Daphnia pulex: one gene and its partner. The protein of the gene in region 1 purifies or fractionates together with the protein of each later gene. This does not show direct contact. Links are inferred from orthologs where the notes say so. Each region holds a gene or a part of one and is shown on either strand. Other genes may lie near its edges.

Evidence for each region. The genes of interacting proteins can lie anywhere in the genome.
Region 2: the proteins of WD repeat-containing protein 61-like (region 1) and splicing factor 3B subunit 1-like purify together in Homo sapiens (co-immunoprecipitation; 3 studies listed by BioGRID and IntAct, with this or other methods). This does not show direct contact. The link is inferred for Daphnia pulex from reciprocal best matches to the Homo sapiens genes SKIC8 and SF3B1.

What each region holds. Positions count from the first base shown.
Region 1 is NC_060021.1:4,226,137-4,234,092, forward strand, and holds WD repeat-containing protein 61-like, read right to left. Parts: upstream 4,897-7,956; 5' UTR 4,785-4,896; coding exon 4,782-4,784; intron 4,713-4,781; coding exon 4,636-4,712; intron 4,559-4,635; coding exon 4,407-4,558; intron 4,284-4,406; coding exon 4,048-4,283; intron 3,979-4,047; coding exon 3,885-3,978; intron 3,823-3,884; coding exon 3,729-3,822; intron 3,654-3,728; coding exon 3,482-3,653; intron 3,408-3,481; coding exon 3,318-3,407; 3' UTR 3,268-3,317; downstream 1-3,267. Other genes in the region: ras-related protein Rab-27A-like, read left to right, coding at 1,692-1,758, 1,818-1,841, 1,896-2,044, 2,107-2,126, 2,196-2,310, 2,444-2,556, 2,841-2,988, 3,054-3,092. UniProt on the Homo sapiens protein: Component of the PAF1 complex (PAF1C) which has multiple functions during transcription by RNA polymerase II and is implicated in regulation of development and maintenance of embryonic stem cell pluripotency.
Region 2 is NC_060027.1:4,645,751-4,653,439, forward strand, and holds the end of splicing factor 3B subunit 1-like, read right to left. Parts: intron 7,314-7,689; coding exon 7,234-7,313; intron 7,167-7,233; coding exon 6,495-7,166; intron 6,431-6,494; coding exon 6,137-6,430; intron 6,074-6,136; coding exon 5,945-6,073; intron 5,881-5,944; coding exon 5,500-5,880; intron 5,441-5,499; coding exon 5,144-5,440; intron 5,080-5,143; coding exon 4,750-5,079; intron 4,681-4,749; coding exon 4,417-4,680; intron 4,355-4,416; coding exon 4,118-4,354; intron 4,057-4,117; coding exon 3,867-4,056; intron 3,800-3,866; coding exon 3,526-3,799; intron 3,462-3,525; coding exon 3,245-3,461; intron 3,184-3,244; coding exon 3,025-3,183; 3' UTR 2,951-3,024; downstream 1-2,950. Other genes in the region: cytidine deaminase-like, read right to left, coding at 10-287, 360-402; coenzyme Q-binding protein COQ10 homolog B, mitochondrial-like, read left to right, coding at 2,004-2,104, 2,168-2,356, 2,409-2,871. UniProt on the Homo sapiens protein: Component of the 17S U2 SnRNP complex of the spliceosome, a large ribonucleoprotein complex that removes introns from transcribed pre-mRNAs.

The DNA.
Region 1 (7,956 bases):
AAGAAAAAAAAAAGTTAGACAAAACGTGTTGTCGTATGACACCTGTACATAAGTGAAAGGTTGCCATTCAAATAAGATTGGAGCTCGTGATGCCGTCCTCTTTACAACTTCCATGTTTTCTAATGTGCCGTCTTTTGTTGAACCACATGACACATTCCATCTCTTTTCGATTGCAAGGGTGCGTGCTTCGAGATGATCAGCAACGACAGTATGACATAACAGAGGTTTAGTTGGACTGGACTTCTACTGCTTTTTTGTTTCCATTCCACATATTTCACCTTCTGCAATACCTGTGCTTTGATAGGTTTTTCTAAGGTCTCGCAATCGTAACTTTTTAAGATATATGCTGGAATATAATTAATGTGGAAAGACTAATGGACTGACTGATTCCACAACATTTTAAATTATCCATCTTCAACTTGTTCCATAATTGAATGAATACAGATATTGTTGTCTAAAATTTATACAGATTCGCAACGTTTTCACACCCTTGCTTAACAATCCGCAACGGAATTCAGTCTGTAATATAACCTCCTTTTATTCTGGAGCTTTGTTTTTTCATAGCAGTTAAATTCGTTGTCCCAAAGACTATGGATATTTCATTGGTAACGAAAATGATGACAGAGACTTCAAAGTTGCTTGAATAGTTGAAGAGTCTATTTCCCACAAGTTTTCGTACTACTGTCACGGCGGTATAATTTTTGACAAACTATATGTGAATTTAACGCAAATTTTTCTTATCCAAGTATAGCCTACATTTTTTCTGCAAAATCAAAGTGATCATTAACATAGCGATGTGGCAAATGAGAGAGCAATTGGTTGAAATAACCAGGAAGTAACAATGCAAACGAACAACGGAATAAAATTAGTGAAAACCATTGTTAAGGTAAACGGAAACCTGGTTTTTGTTATCGGAGAAAATGTGGTTGATTACAAAACTATCGCTGAACTGAAAAAACTCTGATTTACATGGAGATATACTAGTGTTGAATATATAAGGAATAAGGAATAGCACATGCTCTGCATATGCTATTGACGTTATGCGTCAGCGTGCGTCAGTGAACGGAATCGAATCCGTTCTCCAGCATCACTTGAGATTCATTTTCTTGTTCCACAGGAAAGGGATACGTTCACGATCACTGGTGATGACTGTTGTTGTGTTCAATCTGTTGCAAGAATAGTAGGCTACTAGTCATGGGTGGTTTGTGGATAGAAAAGACCGCAAAGGAATTTAAATTAATAGAACTTCCAGAAAATTGAAAAAGATATTAAAAAAAAACTACGTGCAAGAGGTTAAAGTATTTAGCGCTAGGTGGAGAAAATCAAGGACCTTTGCAACTGACATGAAAAATAATCTGAAATAAACTAAAACTTAAAAAATTTAACAGCTTTTACAAAGCCTTGTTTTAGCCCAATGAATCAATAAATAAATAATCATTAACAAGAATGACAGCCGGCATAGAAATTGTCGAAGTGTCCTTATCATATACCATGCATATACCATAGGCATAGGCTGCACTATGTGGGGGCGGGGCGGCCGGGCGGGGTAAGCTGGACTGCTGGAGCCGGAGAGGGAAAGAACGTTGTATCGTACCACCTGTTGTTATGAATTTTGATTTAGTTTAAGCACAATTTTTTCAACTCTACAGTGTTGTTATCTCAGTACTTAAGGGCATTTCCACATTTTTATAATGGCAAAAAAATCGCTTTCCTCAAATCGTTTGGACTACGATTATTTGTTTAAATTTTTAGCTTTAGGTATGAACCCTTTAACAAATTATCAAGTAAATAGCAATGTTAACAAACTTTTTATCTAGGAAATGCTGGAGTTGGGAAAACAAGTAAATCATTGGCTTTGTTAAATATTCAAAATTTCTAAGTTTTCCTTTGGCCAGGTTTTCTGTATCAGTATACAGATGGTGTGTTCAATTCAAAGTTTACAACAACTGTTGGAATAGATTTTCGGGAAAAACGTGTTGTATACCGTGCAAAAAACTCAGAGGGAATGCAAGGCAGAAGCCAAAGAATTCATTTACAGTTATGGGTAATACCACAATAAAATAATTTCTGTGAAATATATAGATTAATTTTCTGTACTCACCATAGGATACTGCAGGCCAAGAGAGGTACATTCAGTTTTATATTCTTATCTAGTTTCAAATAACTTATTCATATTTGTTTGGTTTGGTAATTAGATTTCGAAGTCTTACCACTGCATTTTTTAGAGACTCAATGGGATTTTTATTGCTGTTTGATTTAACTAATGAACAGTCCTTTCTATCTATACGAAGCTGGTTAGAGCAATTAAAGGTAATTACATTTAGAAAATACATTTGCTGGATAACCACATGTCATCAGAAAAAACTTGTATATATTACAAATGGTAATTTTTCTGATGAACTGGTTTTATTGTGGATATTTAATGACTTATATTATTTTGAAGACTCATGCTTATACAGACAATCCTGATATAGTTCTTTGTGGAAACAAAGCTGATCTTGATGATCAAAGAGAAGTTTCTGAAGAAGATGCTAAAGAGACGGCATCTCGATACGGGTTAGTAACTCACGTCTGGTCATATTTTAAACAGCTAGAAAAAAATTAAAAAAAAAAAAGCCAATCTTCCAATCAGTTAGAAAAAGTTTATTAACAACATTAGCTTGGTCATTTTAAAATACTGAGTTGAAAAAGGATTATAAAATGTTCCTTAGTTTGTTCCTTTAAGTATTGATCTCATACAAATTTGTATTACTTGCAGTTACTGTGAATGAAGCATATTTTTCAAATTTATATTAGAATGTTATAAATCCATACTGCTAATTGATACTTTGATTAAACAGGTTATCCTATCTTGAAACATCTGCTGCAACTGGTCAAAATGTTAACATTGCTGTAGAACTTCTTCTGGAAAAGGTTATGCTTAGAATGGATCAAGCTGTTGAAGATACATTTGGTACTGGCCAAAAAGGGAAAACCATACAGTTGAAGGTATATCCTAACTGCTTGAATATATCCATCATTCAATTAAAATATAATTGCTTACATTTTTTTAGCAGAACTCTCCGGATGGTAGTCAGGGATGCGCATGTTGAATATTTTTCCGTCATTTTTGTTGAATTAAATGTTCATTGTGCTATTTGTAGAATTCAGTGTGATAAAGCTTTATTGTTGACAATTTTGTAACAGTTACTTTTCTCACGTCAATTTTAATATTATTTGCTGTGTTCATTCTAGTCCAATGAAAAATAATAAAACTTCCCACAAATGTAAATATACTTTTAAGTTTTATTCCAAGAAAACTTTAAGATTTAATTGCTTTACAATGGACAACTGTATATGTTGATGGATCTGTCATCTGAAACTGATGCAATGTGTTCCCCATCTCCATTGAAGCAAACACTCCATACCTAGCGGGGGGGGGGGGAAACAAATTGTCTTAGTTTACATTTTTTTTTTTTTTTTTTTATTATTGCATAACTACCTGGTCGGTATGATCCGTAAATGTGTGAAGGCATTGCTTCGCCTTCATATCCCATATTTTGACTGTTCGATCAGAACTTCCAGATACGAAACGTGAGTTGTCAGGTGAAACTGAAACACTGAGCACCCACGAACCGTGACCGGAAACCGTTCCCGCTAACTGAGCATGTTGACTAAAGGAGACCAAATTATTATATTACAAAACCTCACCAATCTAATCAAATAAAACAGGGAATATTTTTTTTTACACATCATAAATTTTGATTTGTCCATCATCTGAAGCTGTTAATAACAACTGGGAATTTTGAGAGAAACATAGTGATCTCACTGGTAAGGCATGACCTTATAGATGTAAAATGATTGATTACTTGTTAACTTAAAATTTGTATAAGGTTAAAATGAACCTTCCAATGTGTGTACTAATTTTCCTGTTGCAATGTCAAATACATTAATTATGCCATCCATTGCTCCACTGGCAACAAACTTCATATCAGGACTCTGGAATACAAATAAAAAGTTCAAGTTTTGATAAAATGTTCATAGATAAACTTGGATGATCTCACTTACACATGCAATGCTCAAAGTAAATTTGCCTCGAGTGTCATAGGACTGATGAGGTTTACCAGTGTCTACATTATACCAGTTGATCTTTCCAGCATGACTTCCAGATATTATATACTTTGAATCAGGTGTGAACATAACACTCCACACATCAACAGGCCCTGCTTCTATGGTTTGCTTTTTTTCACCACTTTGAAGTTCCCAAATGCGAACAAATGAATCTAAAGAACTTGTAGCTATTACTGCAAATAGAAAAGTTTTGAAATCAGCCAGTGAACCACAGAGAACAATTCAGTACTTTCAATGTCACAGAAGTAAAGATAAACTTTGATCAAATAAAACATAAAAAAATGATAAATACTCACATTTTCCATCAAAGCTTGTGTCCACAGAGACTACTCCAAGAGCATGACCCTCCAATCGGTGGCGAAGCTCTAGCTGATCATTTCTCCAAGCCCATACTTTTACAGCATCATCAATTCCTCCTGTCACAACATAATCTGACTCTTCCGGGCCTCTAGAGATTGAATCAGATGATAATAGTAAATAATTGAAAAATTCATGTAATATTATTTAAGTGTGACTGCTGCTTACACTTCAGCTTTGCTAGTCCAAGAACAACTCCAAATTCCCTCGTCATGTGCAGCTTCTTTCTTATGAGCCAATGTATACTGAAAGGGGAATAACATTTAAATCATTGTGAACAAAACTGCTACTAAGTAACTATTTAACCATCGAACCATTTTTAATGAAGGAATTGAGTCGTGAACAGAAACAAACACAAGTTAAATTTTGAGATAAAATAAGAGTTATATATCTTTACAGGCCAGAAAATGTACGCAAAACAATGTCACGTTAACAGAGCCATCTAATGAGAATACTTCACTTCTTACTTACTTTTCTTCTTACTTTTATCCTGGTTCACTTTGGTTGTTAAATTTGCTCTTTTTTCAACCGGATAAAATATTAATGTAGGATCCTTATTTAGAAGAGGCATATTATAAACTACAAATTTTTTAACGTCGTTACGTTGTGAGTCCACCACTCAGAGAGGACAAAATTCGGGGGTTTTAAGGGATTTAATTGTTTGGGAAACGGTGGCTAGGCGCTAGGCATCGCAGCCAGTCCCCGAATAACCTATTTTATTCAGAATTTTACGGAAAACCGAATGGTGCAATCCGCGATTTTATAGCTGCCATAGTTTTTTTTAGATTTTTAAGAAAATCTAAGTGGCCCATCAGAAATTGTAGAGGTTTTTCGTTTTTTTTTGCATCAGTTATCGGGCAAACCAGAACCAGACCGTTAAAAAAAACCTATTTTTTCAGAATAAAAGATTTTACCCCCTTTACAGTAGTGTTTCACTCGTTTAAATAACGACAACGAAAATAACGTATTAACGAGCCTCGTTATCGACTTTTTTGGAAAATGCTCGTTTTTTTCGTTAACGATAACGAAATGGCTGTTTTTTTCGTTGTTTTCGTTAATTTCTTGCTAAATTTTTCGTATCAAAACCGTAGAGATTTCAAATTTTTTTACCACCAGGGGGAACTTTTTTTCCCCTCAAAATTTGAAATTTTCAATTTTGGGATGACCGACTTAGCGATCCCCTAGCGAGGAATTAGGTCATTATTTTCGCTACATCATTTGGCCTAACAGGCCTTAGAAAACTAGGTTCTAAAAAAAATTTTAAGGTAAACGATAACGGTCGCAAAAAGAGAAAAATGCGACACGTTTAAATTAACGAAACGAAGAACGAAACGAATGAAAAATTGAAAAATAACGATTAACGATAACGATAACGAATCCAAAAAAGCACAACGGTGAAACACTACTTTACAGAACTCTCACCCCGTTTTCCGATTTGAACTTTATTAGCAGAGAAATTAATGATTGGAAAAATTTACGTCATTTCCTAACGATTTTCGACATCATCCCATTTCCCCGTCACGTCATCTAGCGGCCGATTTTGAAAAGGCTTGGGCAAATTTTTCTCCCGGCTATTTAGAGTTGTTTCAAAAATAAATTAACAATCATACAGTAACTACCTAAAGTTTCCGCACAGCTGAGAGTGGCTGAGAGAAGCTTATGGGAAAACATTAAAGTTTTATTTCATCGCAAAAAATCATGTTTTCGTCCGACAAAAACGATGTTTGGACTGGGGGTTCTTAGCTCTAAGTTTTATAACATACATTTTTTTTTGTTTTTGTTTACGGGAAGGGCCCTTTTAAAATGGAATGAAAAGTTTCCGCACAGTCAAGAGGGCCGGTAGCAAATCGAACTACTTTGGCTTTCTTTTACGGGACGGAAAATAGGGCTAAAGGAGGATTCATTAGGGCTTAAACAAAGAACATCGTTGGTTCTATAACCTCATGCATAATTTTGACCAGCGCATGAGGGGTGGGGATGTGGGGTGTAGTGGATAAGAGCGTCAACGCTTTGGAAAAAAGGCAATGAGGCTCTGGTTTCGAACCCCAGCTGAACCCGTCTTAAACTGTAGCAGTCGCGCCGTGGAAAAAGGCAGCACGCATAACACAGGATCCTTAATTGCTTTCAAGGACGTTAAACATACGGTGATGTGTTTAATCACATCTTACAAATTGGAAACGAAACAGCGTCATTAGATCGGATTAGAAATCATGCGTAGTGCGCTATATAAATTGATACATACATACATGTCATATGAGAAATCACTAGAAAATGGCAATTTTTCATTTCCAAGATGTTTCACCTTTGTTACCCCCTCCCATAGATGGCAATTTTCCAAAATCGGATCGACATTTAAATCGATATTTAAAAGATGGTCTTAGTGATAACAGCTGTTATTTTTCTAACCCTGCCTCTAACATTTAAAATCTCGGTATTTCTAAGCCGCTCTCTGCTGTGCGGAAACTTTAGGTTATAGAAATTTCCCTATGCCTTTTTACTATTTATAATTGTAAATTTATTTTGTTTAAAGTCAGATTTTTGGCCTATTCAAATTATTTATCTTTAAAGAGGTTACAGTTTGCACGGGAGGCTAGGAATTGCAATTCTGAGTGTTCCGGAAGCTAGCCAAGATTCAGTAAGTAAGGCAGACAGGTGCGTTTCACAAGGGCTGCAGCAATTGCGTGGTGCCTAGCCAAATCAAAAAGTTATTGAAGTCTAGGATTGCAGAGGCACAAAATTTTGAGTCCAGGAATGTGCATTCAATGAGAGAGACAAGAGAATAGGTTGCTGGATTTTTTGGTTGATCTGTTTTCCCTTAAATCGTGTTGACATGAGCTGAATCAATTTAGTTTTGGCTAGCCATCAGAGACATCCAACAACTATCTTCTAGAGGAGATTGAAAATGTTGGATACTAAAATAATCGATCTGAAGCTATTTAAAATTGAGCTATCCAGTTTTATGGGTTCGCTTAAGACTGAAACCTTTGAGCATTTCCAAAAGTCAGGAAAGAAACAAAGAAGCGAGCATGCATTAAGAATTAAATACCAATAGGTAAGGTTTTACTACCGGGAGAAGGACGGCTGCATACCTTGCCAGGCAACCAGAAAGTTACACCTTAATGCTCGCAAAACCTTATTTACGATTTTCTCTTGTGAGAAGAGCCTGATCATCAGCAATGACTTCCTCTTTGTCTCCGTTAACAAAAAATTCTTCCGTTACTTGAAGTCTGCTTTCTAGGTCTCATATTAGACCAAAATCTGAAATGGAATAAACAATAATAAGTGAAAACTGCAATAACCAAACCAGCTACGTTATGTATCCGTAAAGCTTTGCGGTTCGACTGCAATCGCATGCGGTTTGCTTAATCTTCCGTGGTCAAAACCAATTTTTTCCTAGGGGTGCTCAATCTGAATTTCCGAGGTGAATTTCAAAGCGTGTGTGAAACTGCAATCGTCCCAGCATTAAATGTGCCGCATGATTGCTGGATC
Region 2 (7,689 bases), on another chromosome or scaffold:
GATTTTTACCTGGCGACACGCTCCACAAGGACTAACAAAATGTTCTTTCATCTCAGCACAAATTGCTATGCTCTTGAAAACCTTCTGTCCTTGTGAAACAGCTTTACATATAGCAGATCTTTCTGCACAGATTGTTAAACCGTATGAAACATTTTCAACATTGCAACCATCAATTATTTCTCCATCGCCACACAACAATGCAGCACCCACCGAAAAATTGCTGTATGGGCAATATGCTTTTTCTCGTACTTCCTTTGCTTTGTTCACAATTTGTTTTACTGAAGCGTCTGAAAGATGAACTTATCGTTAGAAATAATGGTGCGTAGTGATAGTGACTGCATCAATAATTATGTTGTTACCTAGATGTTCAAATTGTACCGCATCCTGATATTTGTCTTCCATTTCTGTAAATATTCCTCAAATTATTTTTTTTTTCAGTTTATTCGATGTTATATCAAATAGAATTTATGTTTCATTATTATCATGCATTGATCAGTATTGTTAATTTTTTTTCTGGGATATCAAATGTTACATTTTTCTCTTATATATTCTCTTATATATATAGCATTGCGGCTCGCTTGGTCCGACTTGGTCGATTGCCCCACTCTTACAGCATCTGTAATACCACGACACGGCAGACCGCAGACTGCGTTTTGCGAATAAAACAAAGTTTAAAAAGGTGTCGCACAGCCCTAATATAGCTCAGGTAAGAGCCAGAGACATTTCCAGGGAAATGTCTCTAGGACCAAAATACTACTGTTTTTTTTTGTTTGTTTGTTTGTTTTTTAAGCATAGAATTTGTAAGTTGCACTGCACTCAGCATCTGTTACTGGGCTATAGTCTATAGACCACGAACGGACGCTGCGCTGCCAAGTGTGGAAAAGGCCAAAATCTCAAATGGGCTCAAAATGAATAAAGCATACAGTATGCATATGATTATGTACAACTTTCTTATGGAGCTTCCTTTTCAATTGAACAATTTTATATTTTGTTTTTCCTTGAAAATTTGGCGTATGAAAAAGGGGGACCCATATTTTCATCTCTCTATTCTTCCCTCGGACCAATTTACCCGATTGCTCTATGAATTAGGTCTCCAAACTTGTAAACATCTCTCGAAAACAAATATTTCCCCCAGTTTTTAAGGCCTTCGAAAAAAAAAAGAAATTTAGTAGAATAATGGATCACAATTCACATGAAGAAAAAAATAAGAAGGGGTGTTATAGCTAATTATTTAATCGAAAAGGAAGCTTTATAAGAAAGCTGTACTAACCACAGGTATTTGAACCAATGTGAGATATTTGTTCTTTACCTTTTCTTTCCACGACTTAAAAAAATTATTATTGTGATTGAGATGTGTACGGAATTTATCAAGACAGTTCTTCACATTCGTACAATAACATAGACAAAACACACAATTTCAGCAATTCACTTATACCTAGCAAAAACTTAAGGTTTGTACTTTCCAACTGCTGTGCGCCACTGCCACGTCTTGATAGCTGAAAGATTCTGAAGATCTATAAGTGTAACCGTATTTATGCGTGCCGTCAATGCCCGCTTAACGGTCACTGAATCCGCTAGATATAGTAGATAAAAAAATTGCCTGCAGCAGACATTAGCTATAACCTCATTCTCCTTCCTTTTTTTATATTTGTTTTTTATTTAAAGAGTCCGGATACGCTTTTGATAACCTCTTCCACTTTTAAAAACTCGTTGCCTAAAAATATTCGGCAGTCAAATCCTAAAAGCTCACTTCATCTCTGATACCACAAATAAATACCATTAAAAACGCTCAAAAATTCAAATAAATGGTTCAGGATGGGGGGGGGGGGGGCGCTTTTAACGCCAAGAAAAAAGAGAAAACCGGCAATGCCTGAAATCACTTTTCACTAAGATAACTCTTGCGAAGTCGTCTGCAACCATTCATATGTTTTTATGTTATTCAATCAATTCGGTATGATGGAGTAAAAAATTCGGATTGATTTCAATCATTTCTAATACTAGAAATGTCAAGTTTCACGCTGCCTTTCATTGCCATTGCAAGACCCGCTCGTCGTAGCTGGTGCAAGATGTTTCATGCGCATAGAAATTTCATTACCTTATCTAGGTAAATAATCTTTAATCTCTTCATACAGTTTGGATTACATTGTGTAACCTCTCTTTTATGCAGGAAGTTAACTGTAATTCAATGTAGTGCATTACAATATACTGGAAGCCATTCTGCTTGTCCAAGAGTAGTTTCGTCAAGTAACTCAAGTTATGGAGCAATTGACCTAGCTATTCCTAGTCGTGGTTTTCAGTTGCCTGGACTAGGAATTGGAAACAAAAGAAAAGACTATTCTGAAAGAAGGTTGTTGGGGTAATATAAAACAAATTAATTTTGCAATAGAAATTAAAAATGAACTTTCTAGGTATTCAATGGAACAAATGTACAATGTTGTGGCCGAGGTGGAGAATTACAAAAATTTTGTTCCATATTGCAAAAGCTCTGTAGTTACCTCACGAACTACTGGTCATCTTAGAGCTGATTTAGCAATTGGCTTTCCTCCTTTGTTAGTAGAAAGCTATACAAGCAGTGTCATGCTTACCCCACCAAACATGGTGAAGTCTGTGTGTTCAGAAGGGAAGCTATTCAACCATCTTCTTACTATTTGGAAATTCAGTCCTGGACTAAAGGGAAATCCTAAAAGTTGCACATTGGATTTTTCCATTTCCTTTGAATTTCGGTCTGTACTTCACTCTCAACTGTCACATGTTTTTTTTGATCAGGTTGTTAGGCAAATGGTTACTGCATTTTTGACAGAGGCTAGGAGACGTTACGGACCAGCGTCAATTAATGGTCAAAGGCCACAGATGTTATCTACACACGCCTAATGACTTAATCAATAATCACTAGCTAAATTGAAATGTTAAATAATATTGTATCTAAATTTGATGACATTACACGAATTGCGACGGCTCAAGTGAGTTTATTTTTAATGAAATCAGTACATGAAACTTGTGTAAAAATGTAGTACAGAAAGTGAATTACAATACATAATCGAGTTCATAACGATTAAAAGTGTTTTTCCCTTCGTTGGACACTCGAGGGTACCCACACACCAGTGAATCTTGACCGCCGATGTATAGTGAGTTGTAAATCTTCCAATACACGTCACGAACTTTCCGGGCCGGATGAAACAGACCCTATATAGAAAAGAAAATGGTTTAAAACTGAAATTCTAATTCAATCAAATAATTAAGTTACCTGCAGTGCGTATTGTAAGACTTTAATAGGGCCCAGGGCTACTCTCATACCCTCCACAGCATCCATAAAAGCTTGAACCAAATGAGGGGATGTTTCAAAAATATTGGGCCAAACGTAGTTCAACAGGTGTGTGAGGGCATCTTCACAACCAAAGCCGAAAACACCCAAAGCCATGTGCTTGATGGCTGCACAAGCAGTTTGACGATGGACCAGGTCACTAAAATAAACAGATGTGCTTCATTAACTAATTAATCATAAATTCAAAATAACTAGAAACTTACCGATCCATCAAAGCGTCTTCTAAGAGCGATGTAACTGAATAAATGTAATCCTTCCCCATCTCGCCAATGTACTCGAACAAGAATGACATCGACTTCAAAACACCATTTTGAACATTAAGTTCCGGGACTCTATATTCGTTCATAAGACCAGGGAGGACGGTGAAGGGCGAACAAGTTTCAGCCACAATTGCAATGGCAACGGTTGTACAAACACGATTTTGGCGCTCCTGTACCTTCAAATTATTAAGCAGTGTAGCCAATACATCGTGTGGGCCTGAAATTTGTTGTTGAAAAATAAATAATTATATTGTACATAATAACCATGACAATTTCGGTCTCACCAATTGCTTTGGCGATATAACCAAAAGTGTTGACTGTAGCTCGTCGAATGGCTTTCTTGTGTGCTTTCAAGAGTTCTAAAAGCTCAAAACAAATGCGCATCCACTCTCGAGCTGAAACGTACTCTGGCCCACGATCGGCAATACGCCCAACCAAATCGATGCAATTTTCCTGTACTTTTTCATGCCGATTCTAAAATGATAATAAAACCACAATAAGAAAAATAAATTACTGATATGTTAAAAAAGCGAACCTTCAAAATAGGTGTTAATCGGGGAAGTAAATCTTTGATTGGCGGTGTCATCTTGTGCATGCCAATTACGTTAACAATAGCTTTAAGAGCAGCTAAAATAGACCCAAGAACTTCAGGGTACTCTTCGCCAAGATATTCATAGAGAACAACTCCCAGATGCCCCATGAGCTTTTCTTCCTGACAAGTTTTCATTACTGCTGCAATACGGCTAATCAAATCAGCAGCTTGTTGCCGAACCTATGGAATAAAAATCATTATATTAAAACGAACGTTTACAAATAAAAGTTGTATAACATTACTTTTGCTGATTTGTTGTTCAAACGCCATAAAATAGTACCACAAATTTGTGGCAAATAAGGTTTAACTCGTTTGGAAAGTGAGTTCACGATTGTACCGAATCCATTTAGCATCACAACATCTTCAGTCGTTTGTTCCTGAAATGCGTAGAGAATACCGTCGATGAGCTGCTCTTCCAAGCGAGCGTCGATATCAGCGGCACCAAGATTACCCATGATCTTTTCGACCGTTTCCATAACCATTTTCCGGTATTGTTCATTTTCGTCCTGTTAGGAAAAATATTCAACATGTTATTTGACTGTCACTGAATTATAAATAATGAAAATGAATAAAACCTTTAAATCGTCAACCACTCGGCCAATAATTTCCGCTGCACCAACACGATTAGCGATTTCAACTGTTGTGTCAACTAGCTGGCGATAGTTACGTCTATCTAATGCCATTCTATGATTCCAGAAACTTTTGAAGAAATGTGGCAAAATTTCTGTTTTAATATACTGAGGTTCCACACCGTCAGTTGCGCAACACTGTTTCACCACTTTAAGTACAATCTTTTTCATTTCTTCGTCAGGTGACTGAAACTCGCGAATTAAAATTAACATCACTTCGCGAGTGTAATAATTGGCGTATTCGGCATCCATGAGAGGAATCAAATAGCCAATAGCCTATTTTTTTTAAACAAATAATATTACAGTATGCAGGATAATATTTTACTTTCAATTAACATACCTTAAGGAAAGCAGCCAATCCCTTACCACGATGAGTTCTTATACCCTTCCACAACGGTTTTAAAACAGAGTCAAAGCTCTCAATACCGTACGGAGTCGCGGCTTCTGCCAGCGCAGCAATGGACAAGGCAGTGATGGTGCGCACTTTCTGTTGCTCATCTACCAATCCATGTTCAATGATCTCAACCAGATTTCGCAAGTGAGGTAAAATAGCACATCCCATAAGAATAGCAATTTGTTGGACGATTTTGATGCCAGTATGGCGAGCTTGCCATGACTTTTTACTCTTGCAAACGGCCTAAAATAAAAATAATAGATAAGAACAAGCCCATCTTAAAACTGAAACAAACTATATACCTTTAGAAAGGGAAGAAGGGAAGGAATTCCCAGTGCAGAAGCTACCACAGCAAAAGCTCTTGCAGTAGTGTTACGAACATATTCATCAATGTTATCGATATCAGGTCTCATGGTAGAAATCATAGTTGCTAAACCAGCTGCTTTGGCTAAATTAGAGATGATTTCTCGACCTTCAACACGAGCATAATAGTCTTCGTCGATTAGCAGCGGTTCAATAACGACAAGGATTTTGTGGACGTATGGACGCACTAGATCATCCAATTTGTAGAGAATGCGATCGATAACTTTAACGAGCAAATGTCGCTCTTGGTCTTCAAGGGTAGGAGACATCAATAAAGGAAGGATCTGATTGAAAAGTGGACCAGCTCCGAATTCTCTAGCCTATTGAAAAACATAAACGCAGTTTGAAGATACAATTACTTTAAAATAATATATATCAGTTTACCTTATCAGTGATTTGTCTTAATGCAGATTTACGCATAGGTGGGGTACCGTTCTTGATTTTAAGTAAAAGAGTCATGATTTTTCGTTCTTTAAGCTCTTCTGGGCTCAATGAATCTTCATCAACATCAATCTGCAAAATAATAGAGTAAAAACTTTTTAATTTTACTTAAAAGAAATAGTTAAGTATAATTACCAATAGCTTGTCAAAATATTGGGCATCTTCTGGCTTCAAAAAGGGCAAGTTACCGCCTTTGGGTTGTGTGTCCATGTATTTTGAGGCAGTTTTATCTTCTTGTTGCATGTAGAATCCCGAATTGGCCCCAGCTAATGGAGTGGGAGTTGCAGTTAATTTGCGCGCCGGGGTACGTAGAGGAATGTATCCAGCTGGAGGAGGCAGGACCTTGTAGCCTTCTGGAAACATCCCGTCTAGTTCATCATCTCCAATTGGGCGGTTTCTTTCGTCGATTTCTCTTTCCCATCGGTATGCCTATTTCGATAAATTTCATTGTGGGTTACATATTGAACATCAAAACGGATAATGCACTGATTACTTGTAGTTGTTCAGGAGTCATGGTAACAAGGTGTCCTGGAGTTGGGGTAGCCATGGCCATAGCTTTTTGTCCGATTGGAGTAGCTCCACCCGGTGTCATTCTTGGAGTCATAGCTCCAGATAGTGAAGGAGTTTGCGGAGTCATTCCACCAGACGGTGTCGCACTGGAATTAGCTGGTGTTTCATCCCAACGGCTGCGACGTTTCGATGCCGAAGGAGTTGGTGTCTCCTGGATTGTGTCTCCTCCACGATCTGTCCGTGGTGTCTCAGCCCAACCAGAACCAAAACCAGGAGTAAATTCGCCGGCTCTTTCAGTTTTCGGTGTTTCGTCCCAGCGATTCCGTTTGCGGGAGTCGTCATTTCCCGGCGTAGCATCCCACAGACGACTTCCAGGGGTAACACCTCCAGCTGCCGGGGTTTCAGAGCCTTTGGAGCGAGAAGGAGTTTCATCCCAACGAGCTACTGCTGGCGTTTCCACTTCCCAGGTTTTCTTCTTTACCGTAGGAACAGTTGGTGCTGCAACTGGAGTGGCAGCAGGACCTGTGTCACCTTCACCTGTTTGATCCCAACGGGCTGCACGTTTCCGTGGCGCTTCATTTGATTCGCCGTTTGATGGTACCGTTACAGCTTTTAAGGTACCATCCTTAGCTTTGTCGGCAAGCTTCCGGCGGACCTAGAAATGAATACAAATGATTACATGTATAATCTCAACTACACCATAAATTATCCATTGTCATTACCTCTTGCTCTTCTGCGCGCAACTGTTGTTCACGAATAATATGAGCGTAAGTGCGAGATCCAACGTCTGGGGTTTTACCGCCTGCACAGAATAGCAATATAAAAAAGGAAAATGGGTTATTATTCAAAGTAAGGAAGATTTTGTAATCGAAATTTAAAGAAAAAATTGGCAGTCGAGACCCAAACTCCCTGTGAGCGACGGAAGTAGAAAAAACTCTTAAACCAGTTTCTTCGCCCACAAGAAGTTACAAATACATACGTGGTGATGATTACGGAAGGGGAATTTGAGCAGATCAGCTCCTGGCCCACAAGTGAATAATCCACCTATAATTAAGTAGCTTGTTCTAGGTTAATATTGGCTTCTAGTATCCTTAATAGTTTCTTGTAACAATTCCCCTTTGAGAGCCTTAGATTACTCACCTCCAAGAGCTCTTAACTTAACTGGTTGCTATGGCACT